Linked DNA regions of Struthio camelus. The protein of the gene in region 2 purifies or fractionates together with the protein of the main gene of each other region. This does not show direct contact. Links are inferred from orthologs where the notes say so. Each region holds a gene or a part of one and is shown on either strand. Other genes may lie near its edges.

Region 1 (8,923 bases), on a different chromosome or scaffold from region 2:
ATCGTGCCCAGGAACGGCTGGCTACAGCCTTACAGAAACTGGAGGAGGCTGAGAAAGCGGCCGATGAGAGTGAGAGGTATGTTTCCTTTTTCTGGGTGTGGGGGTAGGGACCTTAAGGGAAAAATGGTGAATATAAATTAAATGAATTTTCCTGTATTCCTATTAGCCTTGCAGAACACGATAGTTTGGATTGGTCCTAATGGGGTCACTTTTCAGTTACCAATACTGGAGTCCCCTTTAGGACCTTTGAGATAAAGTGATAAAAAGCTTCTGTGTTAAACATATTTGTTTTGACTTCTGCAGAGGAATGAAGGTTATTGAGAACAGAGCAATGAAAGACGAAGAAAAAATGGAGATTCAGGAGATGCAACTGAAGGAGGCTAAGCATATTGCTGAAGAAGCTGACCGCAAATATGAAGAGGTGAAAGGGATGCTTTAATAAGGAAATGATAAAACATATGAGAGAACTATGAACAACTTTGTTACTGTTCAGTTTAGTTCTTCTTTTTATACTTTCTACTATGTGATGGTTTGACTTTGCAATATTTCCAAAAGGTGTAATTCTAATAGTGACTATAGCACTTGCGTATTTACATATTTAATCTTACGTATTTAATAGGTATTTAAAGTTCTTTTGGGAAAAAGTCCCTGTCTTGTATGTGCAGAGCTGTATATTTTATTCTAGTTTACATCAGTCAGAAGGCAAGCATAGGCATAGCGCTTTGAGGGAGACATAACAAGTTATCAGTTGGCTTGATATAGTTATTTTCTCTTTACAGGTTGCTCGTAAACTGGTTATTTTGGAAGGTGAACTGGAAAGAGCTGAAGAGCGTGCAGAAGTGTCAGAAGTGTGAGTAGTTTCGCATACATGGGTGTAGTTTAGAGTACAATAAAGTTCTCCTTACTATGTGAGGATTGTTTTCATAACACAAATATCCATGGTATTTTTCAGGGGTTTCGCTTGTTTAACAGTATCAGTACAGTGTCCAACCATTTAGTAGTTTCATTTCAAAGGCTGCCAGCATTATGGAGAAACATAATGGCCCATTTGGATCTTTTTCATGAAAAATGTTGAGGGGGAAGTTGCTAATACTTCAGCTTCAAGAGTAACTTTCCTTACTTGTAGGTTTATTAAACATGCTCTTCTAACATTAGCATCGGGTCTCCTACAGTGTCCAAGGTGGTACAAAACAGAATGGCTCTTGTACCGAAAGTCAGCTGCAGTGCAGTGCAAGCCTATACGTTTCTTACTGTTTTAAGACATTTCTTAACACAGAGGAGTGTGCAACACTGAGCTTTAAAAGTGTCATTTATTCTTCGACAATGTAAGGTTAAAGTTGTATTTCATTAGGCAGATCTACTGCTAAAAGGCAGCCATGTAGGATACTTGGAAAAGCTTTTGGTGTCCCATAAACAAACTCACTGCTTTTAGACTTATTTACTTAATAACCTGTATTTTTAGACCTTTTGAAAATTAAACAAAGTCATAACAGTGACAGTGGTAACTTGTACTTTTTTTTTCCCCCGTAGTAAATGTAGTGACCTTGAAGAGGAATTAAAGAATGTCACTAACAACCTGAAGTCCCTGGAAGCCCAATCTGAAAAGGTTGCTTCTTTCAGTGAGCTAAGGGATGGTGGGGGGAAGTCAAAACTTGTCATTAAAATTCACAGAAATAATCCAGAAGTACAAAAAAATTTAAGGGTTTAGTTTGACCGCTTGTGTAACAGCGAGTATTGATAACGTTGTATCAGTTCTGCCCAAAACCAAAATACTCAGTAATCTGGTAATTATCTGCAATATTGCTTCCTGCAAATCAGGATTTGACTCTGTTTCCCACATTACTAGGCAGCTGACTGTTCTTGATTTTGTTATCTTGTTAAGAATCTTGTATTGGTTGCTTGCCTTCTTAATAAGGCAAATTGCTAAAACTCCTGCTTTCATTAAACAGTTGTTTCCAGCTAGCCCTAATTGGTATAGAAAAGTTGATGATTTCTTGCACATTCAGCTATTTTTGTGCTGCCTAATAAAGTAAGCCTGTTAAGGACTAAAATAGATACGTAAAGGAACTTTGGACAGCCTCAGTCTTAAAACGATGGTATATGAATCAGTTTGAGAAGTCTTGGTGAAGAGGAGAAAAATATGGGAAGGGTGTTTGCAGCTATCATAAACGGAAAAGTGGTTATTAATAGGTCAGGTTTTTCATAAACATTATTGCTGCTACAACTTCCCTTAAAGAGCGTGTTTATTGTTTTCACAGTACTCGGAAAAAGAAGATAAATACGAAGAAGAAATCAAGCTTCTGTCTGACAAGCTTAAAGAAGTAAGATTATCCATCCCCAAACTGTGCTTTGGCAGCCTTTTTTTAACAGCATCCATTTATTCTATTTATTTATTTGTTTGTTTGTTAGGCTGAAACACGTGCTGAATTTGCGGAGAGAACAGTTGCAAAACTGGAAAAGTCTATTGATGACCTGGAAGGTATGAAATTACTGATCATGATTTTACAGGTCTTCATTTTAGCTCAGAAAGCAACATTCTAGGAATAAGTATTATATTTTATTGGGAAAGGACAAAAATATTAATCAGATGTATAGCCAGAGCAGCGTGAGACAATTGGTGATCCGTATGTCTGTCCAGCCGGGTACTTCCTGCCCAGAGGGAATTTTCCTGAAAGAGGTTCTCTTCAAAAGTTGCTACCAATAACCTGCCTTTAGCCAACTCACAAATGTGTGTGCTCAAAGGGGCCTTTCTACTTAACAAGAATCATAATCTCATTTAATCTGATGCCTGAAAAACAATTCTTGGCAGAGGGGGGGAAATGTAGATGAAGCTTCTGACCTGGCAGCTGTGTATATTTTTTTTGCTTTCACACTAATGTTTGACTACATATCTGTTTTCTTCTTCTACTTCCCCCCTCAATTACTTGGTTCGCTGCATTCTGGCTGTCTTCGCATCTTCTGCTATACGCCTCTTCCTCTGGACTGCTTTTCTGCATCTCTTGCTGCAACTTGCCTTCTGCCTTCGTGCCTGATAGATGAGCTGTACGCTCAGAAGCTGAAGTACAAAGCTATCAGTGAGGAGCTCGATCATGCTCTCAATGATATGACCTCTCTGTAATTTGCACCTACTGGGGGGCTTTGACTCGCTGCATTTCTTAAGCTCTTCTTGCCTGTAAGACCTGTCGCTTCTGTGCAACTTCTAAGTGCGATCCTTCAGCCTTCTCTGTAAGATCTGATTTCAATAAAAACGAGTTACCTCTACCTTTAAGCTTTCTGGGTTTTTTTCCTCATGATTCACGTAAAATACATCAGTAATGACACTGAAAGTACATTTAGCTGCTCATGCCAGGGCCAGGCCCCCACAGTCAGCACAGGCGGGACAGTGACCGTGGTGCAGGACCAGCCATGGGAGCAACAGGCCACGCGCACCCTGCGCAGCGCTGAAGAGCTTGGTCAGTCTCGGCACCCCTGATGGCCGGGACAGAACCTGGTGGCCTGGCAAAGGCCTCAGTTTTCGTATTCCCAAAGATGAAAAAGCTTTGAGCTAGCTCTCACTTTGCGTGTTGTTTCACCTGCCTGGTTTAAAATTCTCAGAACGATGGAAACTCTGAAGGACATGTCCTGTACATCGCGTGTTAAACTAAAATACAAGTCTGTCGCATTACATATCAGACCCATCCAGAAACCCTTTAAACGAGAGCCATTACAAAAATAATTATCAGTCCCAAATTTCTTTGATGCAATTATAGTGTTCTCTTAAAAGTAAAGGTGAGTAATGAGGTTATTTATTGAAAGAGAAAAGGCAGTAAAATGTGTGTTTAAAGTCTTGTTTTCTCTCCTTTCTCCCTAGAAAAACTTGCTCAGGCAAAAGAAGAGAATTTGGGGTTGCATCAGACACTGGATCAGACGTTAAATGAACTAAACTGTATATGAAATTGAGAAGAACGCTCAGCCGCCAACAGAAACTTAAACATGTATCTGTATTTACCGTTTCATTCCTCTCTTTCTCTGTATCTTAGAAAAAAAAAAAGAAAATTAAGTTATGAGCAGTGCCCAAAGCGTTCAGGTCAGCGCCCTGGGCGTACCGCGGCCGCAGCCGCGCCGCTGTAGGGCCGGGGCGGCGGAGACCCAGCTCTGTATTTATTAAACTGCAGCATGCAGGAAGGCGAGCGACGAGCCCGCGCGCGACCCTCCTGCCCCGTCTCCGCCGGCTCGGCGCTGGCCCCGCCGCTTTTTTATGTGGATCAGTGTAGGTGGTATCCCAGCAGTATTACCCGCGAACGCGACTGTTCCTGACGTTTTCATATTAAACAGCTTCACCCCGACCCGCCGTGTCCCCTGCTCTGTCCGTAGCGCCGTCGCGCTTCCCCGCGCGCGCAGCGGCTGGGCGTGATGTCAGCAAAACGTCATACCGCCACCTAGCCGCACGCGACTTCCGTCCGCCGCCGGAAGTGGCGTCTCGCCGGGCACGGGCGGCGAGGCGAGCGGCCAATGGCGCGGCCGGTTACACACGGAGCGCGGCTCGCCGGCCAATGGGGCGCCGGCTCCGTTCTCTTCCTGCTCGGCGGCCGGGGAGGCGGGCCCTGCGGCGACGCGCCGCTGGGCTCGGCCAATGGGCGCGCGGCGGGCGGTGATGGCCGGCGGGCTCGGCCTGTGAGGCGCGCGGGGGCGGGGGTCGCCGGAGGGGCGGCGCCGGGAAGATGGCGAAGACGTACGACTACCTGTTCAAGCTGCTGCTCATCGGCGACTCGGGCGTGGGCAAGACCTGCGCGCTCTTCCGCTTCTCCGAGGATGCCTTCAACGCCACCTTCATCTCCACCATCGGTGCGCGCCGGGCCGGGGCCGGGGCCGGGGCCGGTCGCCGCTGCTTCAGCGCTGCCCCGTGCCGGCGGCTCGCGCGCTGGGGGGCTGCGCGGCGGCGGCGGCGGCGGGGAGGGCGGTTTCGCTGCCGCCTCGGGCGGCTTTAGCGGCTCGGCGCGCAGCGCCTCGTTCAGCGGTTGCGGTGGAGCTCGGTTGCGCCGGCCTTGCCTCGGCGCCGGTTGCGAACGTGCCTCACTGTTCGTTCGCTCCCCCCGGCCCTGCGGGGATCCGGGCAGGCGCTTTGCTTGTGGCTGCTGCGGCTCAGATCGCTCTCCTTCGCTCTGCAGAGGCCGTTGTCTAGCGTGAGCGACTGTAAAACCTCGCGCTTTGCTTCGTTAGCTACCTGGAAGGGTGTTCTGCCAGTGCAAACCTCACCAGGGAAACGAGAGGGGAAAAGTTAGCTTGGTCTTCAGCAGAAACTAAGAGTAACTTAGTTACTTCTCTTTTCAGGTATTGATTTTAAAATTAGAACTATAGAGCTAGACGGCAAGCGAATTAAACTACAGATATGGTAAGCCTTTTCTTCTAACGTTACATGAATTAATTTCTTATAACCCGGCATCAGTATGGTGTGGAGTAGTGATATTATCATTACGTTTTCAATCTAGTTGTGCTCTTCAGTAGCTTACAGTATCTTAGAAACCACAACTGTTGTTTCAGTGCTTCTAAAAACTGATTAAAAATATTTAATTAAAGTTTCTGAAAGCTCTAATTTCAGCGCAATAGCTTCGCTGGGTTGCATGAGCCCCTGTGTTCTGGTCTGTTTCAGGGACACGGCTGGGCAGGAGCGATTCCGAACCATCACGACAGCGTACTACCGGGGAGCAATGGTAGGAGCGGGGCAGGTCACGCTGAGCGTTCAACAGACACCTTAGTTTTCAACATCAAACCAGCTGTGTTTTAATGGGGAGCGTATGTAACCGCCTGTGTTTCAGCATATGAACTCTAGCTGGGTAAACACTTGACAACTTGCACTCCTGTTCCTCAGCGCTAATGGTGTTGAAGCTGTACTGAGACAATGTGGGGACCTACAAAGTCAGATTTCCATTGTGACTCACTGTATAAATATACATTTAGTACACCTTATCTAATAAGACACAAATTGTGATTAAATGTTATGTGTAACTTGGAACTATTTCTTTTTAAATAGTCTTTGTTAAGTTTCTTTGTCATGGAAAAGTCTTTAACTTTTGCTTAAACTGGCACTAGCTGAAATAAGGTGTTTTGTTTTTATCTTTAGGGCATTATGCTAGTCTATGACATCACCAATGAAAAATCTTTTGAAAATATTCGGAACTGGGTCAGGAATATTGAAGAGGTAATTTCTGTTTATTGACTCAGTATTAAAAATGCTATCCCCATTCTAGAAGTAGTTAAAAGTTAAATGCTTCAGCATTGTTATGTTTCTTTCTAATTTATGTACTGTAGAGTAAATGTGGAAAACATATTGCAAGAAAATTGGTAATATCTTTTAGAATGTCTCGGTTCATAGTAATTCATTGCACGTGAGAGCACGTTGTATGGACTGTAGCCTTTCTAGCGATTGAGAGATGTTTTCCTGCCACCGCAAGTGACCTAAAGAGCTGCCTTTATGCAGGCAGGCCCTGAGCTGTGAGTGTCTGAAGAAAACTGTTGGGATGGGGTGTTTGGGGGAAACTCTTAAATCTATGGAAAATTCTTTGCATCAGCACCTTTGTTTTCAGTACTTGATGTATGCTTCACCTTTCTGATGTTTTTTTGTAGACAAATACTAAGCTGAAGTACTTTCTTTTGTCTGTTTCTATGTCAGCATGCCTCCCCAGATGTTGAAAAAATGATTCTTGGAAATAAGTGTGATGCAAATGACAAAAGACAAGTCTCTAGAGAGCAAGGGGAGAAGGTAAGTGCCATCGCCTGGCTTCATCCTGTCTCTGCCCAGGGGCTGAAGTCAGTGCTTGGAACTGAATACTTCCTAAATCCCTCAGTCTCTTTAAAGCCCGTAAAGTTCCTTACTTACTGCCAAGACGGTTGCCAAGTGTGGCTCGTGTGTCTGACTTGCTGCTTTTGTGGCAGGAGTCTATGTTATAGCTGCCTTAGGAGGACTAAAGTGCTAATTTTGAAGTTCCAGCCAGTAAGATTGATCTACCACTTCTGAAAGCTCACTAAAGTATGATGGTGTTCCTTCTTGGATTTAATCTTTATCCTTGTTATTTTGGTCTCAGCAGTGAAATCTTCTGTACGAATGTTAAAATAGTTTTTATTCCTTTTGATGTATGTGTGCCTCAGCTGGAAAAAACTGTAGGCTCAGTCTGTTATTCTGCTGGTAGAAAACCTGTTCTTCCAGTGAAGAAAATGGTTCAGAGTTAGTGGTTATTGATTTCTATACCTAACAAAATAATGTGCACTACCTGTGAAGTGTTATTGGCTTCTGTGATCTCTTATGAATGCCACAGTCGTAAATGAAGCTTACAAAAAAAAGTTGAGATCATAAATTAGAGCCCCTTGCTCTAATTGTAAGCGTTCAGTGTTGTGCTCTTAATCGTTAAAGAAAAAAAAAAATCTTCATTTCAAAAGTTGAAAATCCAAAAACCTCTGGAGTGTTTTATAAAATTGCAGTTTGCTGATGTTTGGGACCGTTTAGGAATGGTTAACTTGGCTATAGAATAACATACTCTTAACATTATAAACAGCTGTATTACCATGTTTAGTAACAGAGGCTAAAGTCAGACTTCCACTTCCAAAGCGGCAATTGTCATTTTCTATAAGGTGCTTGAGAACTGATACACTGAATATGCCACCGCCACCAGCCCCAGAAACCTCACTGCTTTAATTTATTTCAAATTAGACTTTTCAAAATGTAAACATTGTATTCATTGTTGTCTATATGTTGCCCTGTTTCTTCCAGGGTATTTCTCAGTGGAACTATTTAACGTTTCCCAAGCTGTAGTTGCAATATGTTTCCCTATTCTGATGAAAAGATGAGTCTGTGTTAAGAATTCTTGTTTGTTGACTGTCTGGTCAGGGTTTGTTAGATGCAGAGCAGGAAAACTGAATTTATTCTTAGTAAAAGGAAGGAAAAGCATGCAAAAGGCTAGCATTTAGGAATGTCCCTTTTTGATGAAAGCCAGTGAGGCAAAAGAGATAGGATTGTCTTTTCTGGCTTCAATTGTTAATTAGTCAAGGTAAAGAATGTACTTCTGTGCACTGCAGGTATTACAAGTCTCACAAGATACCTATGCAAAAAAATAAAATATAAGGAACAAAGGAGCCAATTAAAATGTATGCAGAATGTAAAACAGAAGAACAAAAACCAGTGAGAATAGATACCGAGAGGAATCAGATTCAGTTCCTGATTTTTGCAAATTGTTCTGCTTGAGTAGATCCCCAATTCCTATGAATCACTCTAGGAGGGGTAGATCCTGCACCATTGGTTATATTTATAGCTGTTCCTGCAATTATCCAACTAACACGAACCTGCTTTTGTTCAGCTTGCCGCAAGTTTTGGAATTAAATTTATGGAGACCAGTGCAAAAGCAAATATAAACATAGAGAATGTAAGTATGCAACCCTTCCCTTCTACTTACTGTCTTAGTACAAAAAGAAGCAATAAGAGCACTTACCCGTGCTGACTGGATGCAAAACTCAATTGTTAGATATTTCAGATGGGTTGTTAAATACATATCTTTGCCTCCTGTGAATGCATGGTCTAACCAATGTTATTCTAAATGACTGAAATTGAACTTGGTGCGTAAAGTGTAATGCAGAGGCATTACAGCAAACTGCTTTAGAATAGCATGCTGAAAAGATTGGTTTATGTCTCTGCATGTATTCGATAGTGCCACTTAGAAAGGGCATCATTTTGCCACTATATAAAACCTGGATGTGCCCACATCGTGGGTACTGTGTCCTATTACAGTTTTCAGCCTCAAAAAGGCAGTAGTGGATTTAGAAAAGGTTCAAAGACAGAGGAAGGAGCATTAAAACCTCGAGAAAGGAATACTGAGAATCTGACGTTCTTCACGAGTTTCGTATGTGCAGAAGCACAGGAAGGCAGCTTATTACTAAACAAAAACGTTGGGATATG
Region 2 (8,923 bases):
TGCTGCTTTTAGCTCTCTGAAGTTCTCTGGAGACCCACAAAGCAGTTGTTTATGGCCTTTTCATTTTTCATGCTCACCTGCTCCATAGGATGCAGGACTTGAGCGGTCTCCCATCTTTGTAGGCTAGCAATAAGTGGATGACATTGACCTCTAGCCCGTCCCGCACCTCACGGCTGAAGAGACAGTCTCACCAACAGGCAGGAGGGACAGAGATTTGTTTCTGTTGTGATCAGGCATTGTGTTATACCCAAGTGACAGGACACACTTTGCTCTGATGCTTACCTTTCTTGGTCCTTCAAGATTTTAGGATAATTGATTTACTACTGATGAGCTTCTGTGAGGTGGGTATCATGGACAGGCTTACAAAAGCGCTTCTTTCTGTAACTTCACATTTCACTTTCTTCTTCTTTCGGTGGGAATTCATGTTCAAACCTGAATTTTGTTCTAACTTTCTCCTGCTACTCTGCTGGTCAGATGGCAGCCAGGCAGAGGAGAGGCTGACATCATGCAAAAGCATTTCTGTGTGAGTAGCTGTTAAATTGTTGGGGCTTTCCTTTCTCTGACGTGGGCCTTTCAGTGTCTGTGGAGTCAGCCTGGCTGCCTCCTGGGAACAGAGAGTTGATGAGGCATGTTACTGATGAGACGCACATAATTTTTCCTTCTTGTTTTGAATCCCTCAATTTAATACAAGCCATTGGCATGTATGAGAGCTCTTGGCTACAAAACACGCTTCCTATTGTTGGGAGCAAACAGCCTTGTGTACAGCCTTCAGCAAAAATATGAAGTAGCTCAGTTTTAACTATTGTTGGGAAATCAGTTGATCAAAGACATGATTTTTCTCTCTGATGGTTCACTCCCTCACTCTTATGCAGAAACTGCATTACTTGAGTCTCAGTTTCATAAGGCCCCACACTTTCAAATGTAAGGAATCATCCCTTCCCCTTTCTCTTGTCAAATTAACAAAAATGGGTTTATTTTTCTTTGGCCTTTTAAGGTGGTCCTAGTCATTTGCTTAAGTTTTCTCTACTAACAATAATATGCATATGGGAACCAGGACAAATTTAAGAGGTAATGGCAGTTGTGATCCATACTATTAAGAGCAGCCTTCAGAAAACACTCAACATTTCTGCACTACAGATCAGTATCTAGAAGGAGAGCTGAGAGGGCCTGCAGGAGAGAAAGAAAAGGGAAAGTGTAAATATAGGAGACTATATCACTTCACGTCTGTGGCCTGCTGTTCTCCTCATTCTCCAGTAAGCTTCTGAACGTGTCTCAGGAAGGGATCTAGGCAAGTAGGCACTGCACTCACAGGACATGCTCTGCTCCATGTGTCTGCAATATGCCACAGGTGGGAAAGCCCCATAGTGCAGGGAGAAGCAAAGTGAGTGGAGGCAAGATGCTGAAAACAGGCATATGGACATACAAGACTCCTCCAAGGGAAAGATGTAAAAGAGAAAAATATGATCCAAGGTTCGCAAGCATCATCCCACCAGGAACATCTTGGGAGAACAACAGTTGTCGGTAATGGGTAAGCTGCTGCACAGATAGCTCTGCCTCCCTCTCTCCCCAGTTCCTTCCCCTAATGCTTGTTAGTTTACCTGTTCGTGCATTAAAGGCTCATCATAGCTATTAACTCCCGCCGAGCTCTCCTTAATCACCAACTAAGAACACTGCACAAGTCGCTGATGCCTGTATTCTGAAAAGCCATTACTGGGCCACTAGTAATACTATGACTGTATTAGCTAACTCATTCAGCAACATTATTCTAATCACCTTAGTTTATAATGTGGACCCGAGTCTTGTGGTATACCAAAAGCTGTGTCTCCGACCTAACCCTCTTTTGGGAAGCACAGCATGGAGTCAGCCTCTAGTAGATTTGTCTTCTGGTGTCTGCAAGCCTGGATGCCTTTCTGATACAGTTGTCTTGGTCAAACACAAATGACTGGGCTTGATACAGGGAGGAATGAGGTGAAACGTAGTGGTCTGTGATATACAGAAAATAGCAGCTGCTCTTTGTAGTCCATCCTGGCTTTCTGCTCTGTGGATCTGTTCCCTGCCACGCAGCCCCTGTTGCCCCTTCCCAAAGTGCAAGGAAATGAGAAGGGACTAACCACACTGACTCGTTAAGCCAGGTTTGTTGGAATACAGATTGTCATGTTAAACAAATATATTTTTTTCTAAACAACTAAATATGTTTCTCTGTGCTGTGCCCTATCTTGGCCATTAAATCTGAAAGGGGTAACTACAGATGCGTCAAAGCTAGACTCAGAAGCTGATTTTTCACTACTTTTACTACTACTGTTTGGCAACAACTCAATTTCTAAACATCGTTCTTCCTTCATTTCCCAATGCTGCACTATTTAGATTGCAAGCACTGTAGTGGGATGCATGCTGCCAGACAAAACAGTCTTAGTGACTTAAACCCCACAAATGCATTTTCTAAACCAAGCGCATCTTCTTTATTTCTCATGAGGGCCTCTTCCTTAAGTTACCTGATGACAGAGGATGGAAAGGGCTGTCTATTTGCCTGTCATTAGCCAGTTGGCTTTTAGAAACTCTGCAAGTTTTATCAATCTAATTAAAAGGTTGTGTGAAAATGGACTGGGATAGGTGAGCTCTGTTACATCACACCTGTGGTGAAAGTTTCCAACACGTGCAAGAAAAAAAGCACCTTTTAATGCATGTTTTTTTCAAGGGGAAAAGACAAGTTTGAGTTGATCTAGCATTTCTTCAGATTGTTCCCTTGGTAGTCTGATTAATTCTGAGTGCAGATGTTTATCCCTTCCTTTACAGACTATGCCCAATATTCAAGAGCAGGCTTACTGAGCCGTATTTCCTACCTGCCCCACCATTCTGTTATTGTTAGGGGTGTGCAGCAACATACGCTGAGGCCTTATTACAAGGGATTCCTATAAATGGCATAAAGGATTAATAATGTATTTATAACACAACTTTGTTTTAGTATAAAGTGATCTATAAATTTGTAATAAATGTTTTATAATGTTTTTGTAGCCTGTTATAAATGATAAATGGGAGACTATAGATGCCACATCAAATATTCATGCTGCATTGTGTGCATTATTATGCCGTTACTGTTCAGGAAACCATTAATAATAAAGTGAATGGAGATGTAAAAGTTGCTGACATGCCCAGCAAGCCATTTATAATGAAATGTATAATCCTTACCATAAAGTAAATACATTGGCCAGGGCTTGTTGATGAAATGGAAACACACTGAATTATTTGTAAGGTATTTATATATTAATGTATATTATCCATATCATGTCATACAAATGCTATTAATATATTATATAATATGTATTATTAATTATTTTTACCTAATTTATAGGCAGCTCTTAAAAAGTGTTACCTTGTATCTTCTGCGGTTTTGTCAGCTGAACAAGAGCGTAGCGGGTGAGTTATTTTTTTGTGATGTGGGTGCTGGGGGGTGATTGCATAAATTAACGGTCATTGAGCTTTCCTTAGCCGTGGCTTAAGCCGTCTGGGGCAGATCCAAAACTGATGGGTAACTTGACGAGAGGCCAAAAATAAGCGCCAACTCTTACTGCTGTAGGGGAAGCAGCCCAAATTTGTACGTAATGGGATCGCTGCGCGATTCCCTTTTCTTTGCTCTCTTCCTAGGCCGCGGGAGCGTCTCCCTCCTGCCTCCTTCCGGGCTTTCTGCGGCCTGTGGTGCCGCCGAGCTGCTCCCGCCGGGGCGCCCCGTCCCCCCGTGGCTCCTGCCCGTCAGCCTTCCTCGCCCGCCGGCCTCCGGACAGCTGCCGTTTCCTCCCTCGGGACGCGGCCGCGTGGGCCTGTGACCCACGCGCGTGACCAGAAGCCCTTTTTATTTGCGTTTGAGGTTTTTGTTTGGGTTTGGTTTTTTTTCCACGCTAAGGCAACCTCCGTCGATAGGAAGGGGTGCAGAGGAGCTCCACCACCAGCCCCCCAAGTTGCGTGACATGGTGTTTTCACTCGCCCCGCAGCAACGCTCGGAGCAGAGCGTGCTGTTGCCTCGCCGGGCCCGGAGGGGGGAGCCGGGCCCGCGGACTGTGCGGGCAGCGTGGCGGACGGCGCGGAAAACAAGCTTCGCTTCGGAGATAACAGAAAACATATCTCAACCCCGCCGCCGCCCTGCGAAGGGCGCCGAGGTGCGGGGCCGCCGGCGGGGCTGGGCGGGCCCGAGGGGGGCGGTGGCGGCCGCCGCCTCCGCCCGCCCCTCCGCCCGCCTCCTCCTCCTCCTCCTCCTCCTCCTCCTCCTCCTCCTGGCCGCCGTCGCGCCGGGCCGGCCCGCTCCGCCGCACGCCGGGCAGCCGCTCGCCTCAGCTCGGCTCGGTCGCCGCCGCCGCGGGGCTCTGCGCGGCCCCGCCGAGCCGCCCCGGGCGCGGGCCCCGCCGCCACCTGCCCCTGCCCCTGCCGGGGGGTCCGCGCCATGGCGGCCATCCAGAACCTGCAGCTGTGGTGCAAGCAGCAGTGCGAGGGCTACCGCGATGTCAGCATCACCAACATGACCACCTCCTTCCGCGACGGCCTCGCCTTCTGCGCCATCCTGCACCGCCACCGCCCCGACCTCATGTGAGTACCCGCCGCCTGCCCGGCCCCCCGCTCGGGCTACGGGCCGGGCCGCGGTCGGCGAGGCCAACGGTCCCCGCTTGGCCGAGGCCGGGCGCCCTCCGCTCGCAGCGTCCGCCGAGGCCGAGGGTCCCCACTCGCACCGGCTGGCGAGGCCGAGCAGCCTCCCTGTGCTGCGGGCAGCAAGGCCGCCGGCCCTCGTTTCGCCGCGCTTGGCGAGGCCGAGGGCCCTCGCCGCCCTCAGGTGTGCAGCAGCGAGGGAAGGGGACTGGTCCCGAGTCCTGCCGAGAGGATGCTGCGGTCAGGCAGCGCTCGTGTCAGAGGGGAGCTTTGCTAGCTTGCGAAGCAGGAAGCCTCCAAGGTAATCTTCTTTTTCCCCATTTACAGGCTATCCTTCGCCCCCCTTCTGTTTTTTAAGGAGTTGTGGAAGGCTGCGGCCAAAGGATAAACGTTTAAAGTATGTCCTTGCTTTTGCAAAGCAAGCTCAGGCAGCAGTTGGGAAACGTTTCCTTCTTTGCTGTTTGTGTTTGCTTAGGCTCGGCTTTTGTTGCGGAGCCAAACGGCAGTTCTGTCAGTTTTTAGTTAAGGAATAGATGCTATTTAAACAAAATGCAATAGGAGTGCAGGGAGTTTCCAGGCAGGCTGCTCTGCTAAGTATCTAATAGGAGCTGTTCAGGAGAAAGCTTACGTCTTCCCCGCAGCCCACTCGCTCTTCCATGGGAACAGGGAAAGTGTCCTCTTTTCAGAGGAGCTCTTTGTGAAGGCAGGAGCGTGGTGGCTGCTGGATTCCTACAAACTGGTGTTTTCGCATTCGGAGCCTGGTCTGTGGGAGGCAAAGTGCCTTGCATTCCTTGCTGGCCTCTTTGCTCTTGTCCTATAGACTTTGACCTGCCTCTACCCAAATTTAAAATCTGGATAGGTGTAATGCCAAAGGAAGATATAAATTCTGTTTCCTCGGTTTTTCGCCTGGCCGTTTTCACTTGAAGACGGGGGCGGGGGAATGGGGGGGTTGAAGAGGGAGATCAGTGCAGGGAAGCAGTGCAAAGACTTCCCTACAGTATTGATTTAAGCATTAGATGTCTTCCAGTCAGACGTGGTTGACTAGCAGAGGACAAGGTTGTGTTTTCTGTATTGCAGTTTTCCTCCTGCTCCTTGAATTCTGCCTTTTTTTTCCCTTGGGTTCTCAGGACAGCCTGTCACAGGGAGTTATGTATGGAGATCTCTGTTGCAGGTGTCCCTTCTTGTGGGAACCCAAGAAGGAGACATCCTTTTGCTCTCTTCTCCGTTGTTTTGAAACTTGCAAGAGGCAAGGGCTAGCTTGAACAGTAGGAGACTAGGCAGGAACTTTAGGCGCACTTTCTGTGTTATCTCCTCCTTGCCAATGCTTGGGCAGTCACCATGGTGTTGTTATGTATGGCTTCCTGACGTGTTTTCATTTCCACGTGACTCCAAATGTTTCTTTTCCTTCCTTTGATTCATAGTCTATAAGATATGAAATACTAGGGCAAAAATGTTGATGTGACTGGGAGGTGCTCCTAGAAGGACTGCAGCCACTTCCTGGCCAACTGTGCAGTCAGCCCATCTGGGGACATGGATGTAAACAGGGGCTTAGTGACTTGAGAGCTGGAATAATCCTGCTGCACAAATTAGTAAGTTGTTTATAATCCTTAAATTGTGCACCAGGAGCTGTGGATAGATTTATCTTAAATAAATGCCTCTGTACTCAAGAGGGAAAATGTTCCTAGTGACATCGGTCCTTTCCCGTTGAATTGAAAAAAATTCTGCCTGACTTTATTCAGGACCTTATAGAAGCTCTTTCTGATATAGAGCAGCTCGGTGAAGATGACGTAAAGGTTAAAGTAACAGAGTCTTTTATGTGTAACCTCCTTCATCAATGACAGTAGTGTAAATGCAGTAAAGCACCAGGTGTATATCCTTGGATGGTCAAAGTCCTGCTGGAAGGAAGTCACATATTGAAGTGGTTGGTGGACAAGGCTGCAGGGTGTCACGTGTACCTTGGCTCCTGGGGCTGGATACTTGTGCAAATTCTCTGTGAATCTTCAAAAGCCGCTCTGAGTTTACGGCACAGGAGCCACTAGCAGGGAAGCGTGGCTGGGTGTGCATGTGGCTGCGCCTCTGACTTCCCTGGGGACTTGAAATGCTTTATCCTGAGCTCCAGAAGCTTGCTTCTAGCAAAGATCCTAGTTGGATGTTAAAAGCATCATACTGAAAGTAAAGCTAGAATAGGATAACTGGTGTTTGGAGAGCTCGGTGTGTTTGGAGCAGCCCTTATATGTAAATCACTTACAGAACGCAATTCAGTCACGGCATCAGAGTTTTGCAATAATGTGTTTTCTGTCTTGGTTTGTGTAAACGACATTCTTGGGCTGAGGACTGAACAGTACGGAGAGGGGATTTCTTGTTCGAGGAGGCTGGAGACATTCACAAGAAAATTTCAGGCAATTCAAAACAAGTTAATAATGTGCTTCTCTTGCGGGGTTGAGAATACATGGGTCAGAGTATAGACTGGCATATATCTCTTCCCCCTTCCTGTTTTCCTGCCAGAAAACACGTGGAGAATATGATAGCTTCTTTCAAACTTGGGTTATGTCAGTCTGTATGTTATCGGTGAATAGGGCAGGCTGTGTGAAATCAGAAATGCACTTCCCACGCACTTCCCACTCACCCGAGAATTCGCAGACAGACTGGGCTCTGTTGGAGTAGAAACACGCAACTGAATTGCCATGGAAATTCACTTCTCTTTCATCCCAGCTGAAGAGTATTTCATACCCAGCCCCAGACAGGTGCGCATGCTGCATCAGGCAGGTCTCAGTCCGTTTGCTGGGCTGATTACAGAGCACTGAAGTTCCTCTCGTCAGAGGAATATGGAACTTCTTAGCTGTATGAAGTGGGACTCTGAAACGTGGGCTCTGTTTTGTGGCTGCTGTGTGTGATGGTGTTGGCTGTGCGAGCTCTGACCAGAGGTTTTAGTGGTCTGAGTGTGATAAGTGAATTAGAAGAAGTAGAGGAGCCATGGTCTCCTGCTCACTCGGTCTGAAATAAATGCCAGATGTTGAGGAAAGGTTTTGATTAAGCTCCTTGTCTTCATCCTGGATCTTGCTCTTTCCCGGCTCGTTAACTGGTATTTAACTCAGCGTTCTGGGAATTGCCTGGTTGTGAAATCCCCCTTGGCGGCTGTGTGCTCAGGCGCGTTTGGTGGCTGGAGCCGAGCAGCTGCCTCCAGCGATGTTGTTTCCTGGGTCATTGTCAGCTCAGCCAGGGAGGAGGAGGCCACGAGCCTCCAAAAAAGACAGAAAGGGGGACGAGCACCAGGTGACCCAGCCACTGCTGACCCTAGGCTTGGGGTGCTTGCCTCGGCTGTGCTGAAGGCAGGTTGCCCACGGTCTCCGTCTCCTCAGCAAAGGGCTGGAGCGAAGCAGAGCTGCTACCTGCTTGGCTTCCTCCAGGTTGTGTTTCCTACGACAGGCGTAGGTAAGGGGAGGATGGTTCTGGAATAAGGGAGACTCATCCTTTCATAGTCACCCCCAGCAGCATGTCAGCCCTCCAGTGAGATCAGAGAAGCTGTGAAGCAGGGGTCACTGAGAGGAAGAAGAGAGCAAGGGGGGCATCTTCCACTTAGGATTCCCAGCCCTGTCACCTCTCTCCAGGTTGTTGTACCTTCGGTAAGCAAGCTGCTGAAAGGTCCTGTTCTCAGAAGAGCAGACGGGATTGAACCCTCAGTTCAAGGACTGCGTGCAGACAAAGGATGCTTTTCTGTTTTTCAGTCATCCTTCTGACAGCAGATATCTTACAAAAATGGTATGGAGGTGCCTAGAGGCAGTGAGGTTCTGCGGGACCTGCTTTGCCTACGCTAGCCTCTGGGCCATTTTCTGTTCAGTCTGCTCCAAGGTAGCATTTCCCACAGAGTTAGTGCTTGCAGCAGCAGCAGAAGTCCCTCCCAGGGAAGCATGCGCGCTTGGGAAGGACTGTGGCATGCTATGCAAACTCTGGGTCTGTGCAGCCAGAGCAGGGGTGGGTCACAGAGATTTCTGGGCATGGGAATTGCTCAGCCACTCTTTTACTAGAGAAGAACTTTGGGAGCTAAAAACTTCTTTTCCTGCACTATTGAACTCCATTCTGATTTGTTTCCAACACTGGAGGCCCTCTCTTGGGTCAGATTTATGTTTCTCACCTCTTCCAATTAATTCAGTTGCCCATGTTTTCTCAGTGGAAAACTCCTGCTTCTCCATTTGTATTAACTTTTCTTTCTTAGGATTACATTGCAGAGAGTATTTGATATTCCAGGATAGGAGATGCGCTGGCAAGATCAATTTCCTAAAGAAGTATTTTT

The links.
Region 1: the proteins of MICALL2 (region 2) and RAB8A purify together in Homo sapiens (co-immunoprecipitation; 3 studies listed by BioGRID and IntAct, with this or other methods). This does not show direct contact. The link is inferred for Struthio camelus from reciprocal best matches to the Homo sapiens genes MICALL2 and RAB8A.

What each region holds. Positions count from the first base shown.
Region 1 is NC_090967.1:5,168,002-5,176,924, forward strand, and holds the start of RAB8A (ras-related protein Rab-8A), read left to right. Parts: upstream 1-4,620; 5' UTR 4,621-4,700; coding exon 4,701-4,824; intron 4,825-5,310; coding exon 5,311-5,371; intron 5,372-5,629; coding exon 5,630-5,690; intron 5,691-6,100; coding exon 6,101-6,178; intron 6,179-6,649; coding exon 6,650-6,739; intron 6,740-8,327; coding exon 8,328-8,393; intron 8,394-8,923. Other genes in the region: TPM4 (tropomyosin alpha-4 chain), read left to right, coding at 1-76, 304-421, 780-850, 1,531-1,606, 2,259-2,321, 2,410-2,479, 3,851-3,933. UniProt on the Homo sapiens protein: The small GTPases Rab are key regulators of intracellular membrane trafficking, from the formation of transport vesicles to their fusion with membranes.
Region 2 is NC_090956.1:6,919,630-6,928,552, forward strand, and holds the start of MICALL2 (MICAL-like protein 2), read left to right. Parts: upstream 1-4,308; 5' UTR 4,309-4,432; coding exon 4,433-4,575; intron 4,576-8,923. UniProt on the Homo sapiens protein: Effector of small Rab GTPases which is involved in junctional complexes assembly through the regulation of cell adhesion molecules transport to the plasma membrane and actin cytoskeleton reorganization.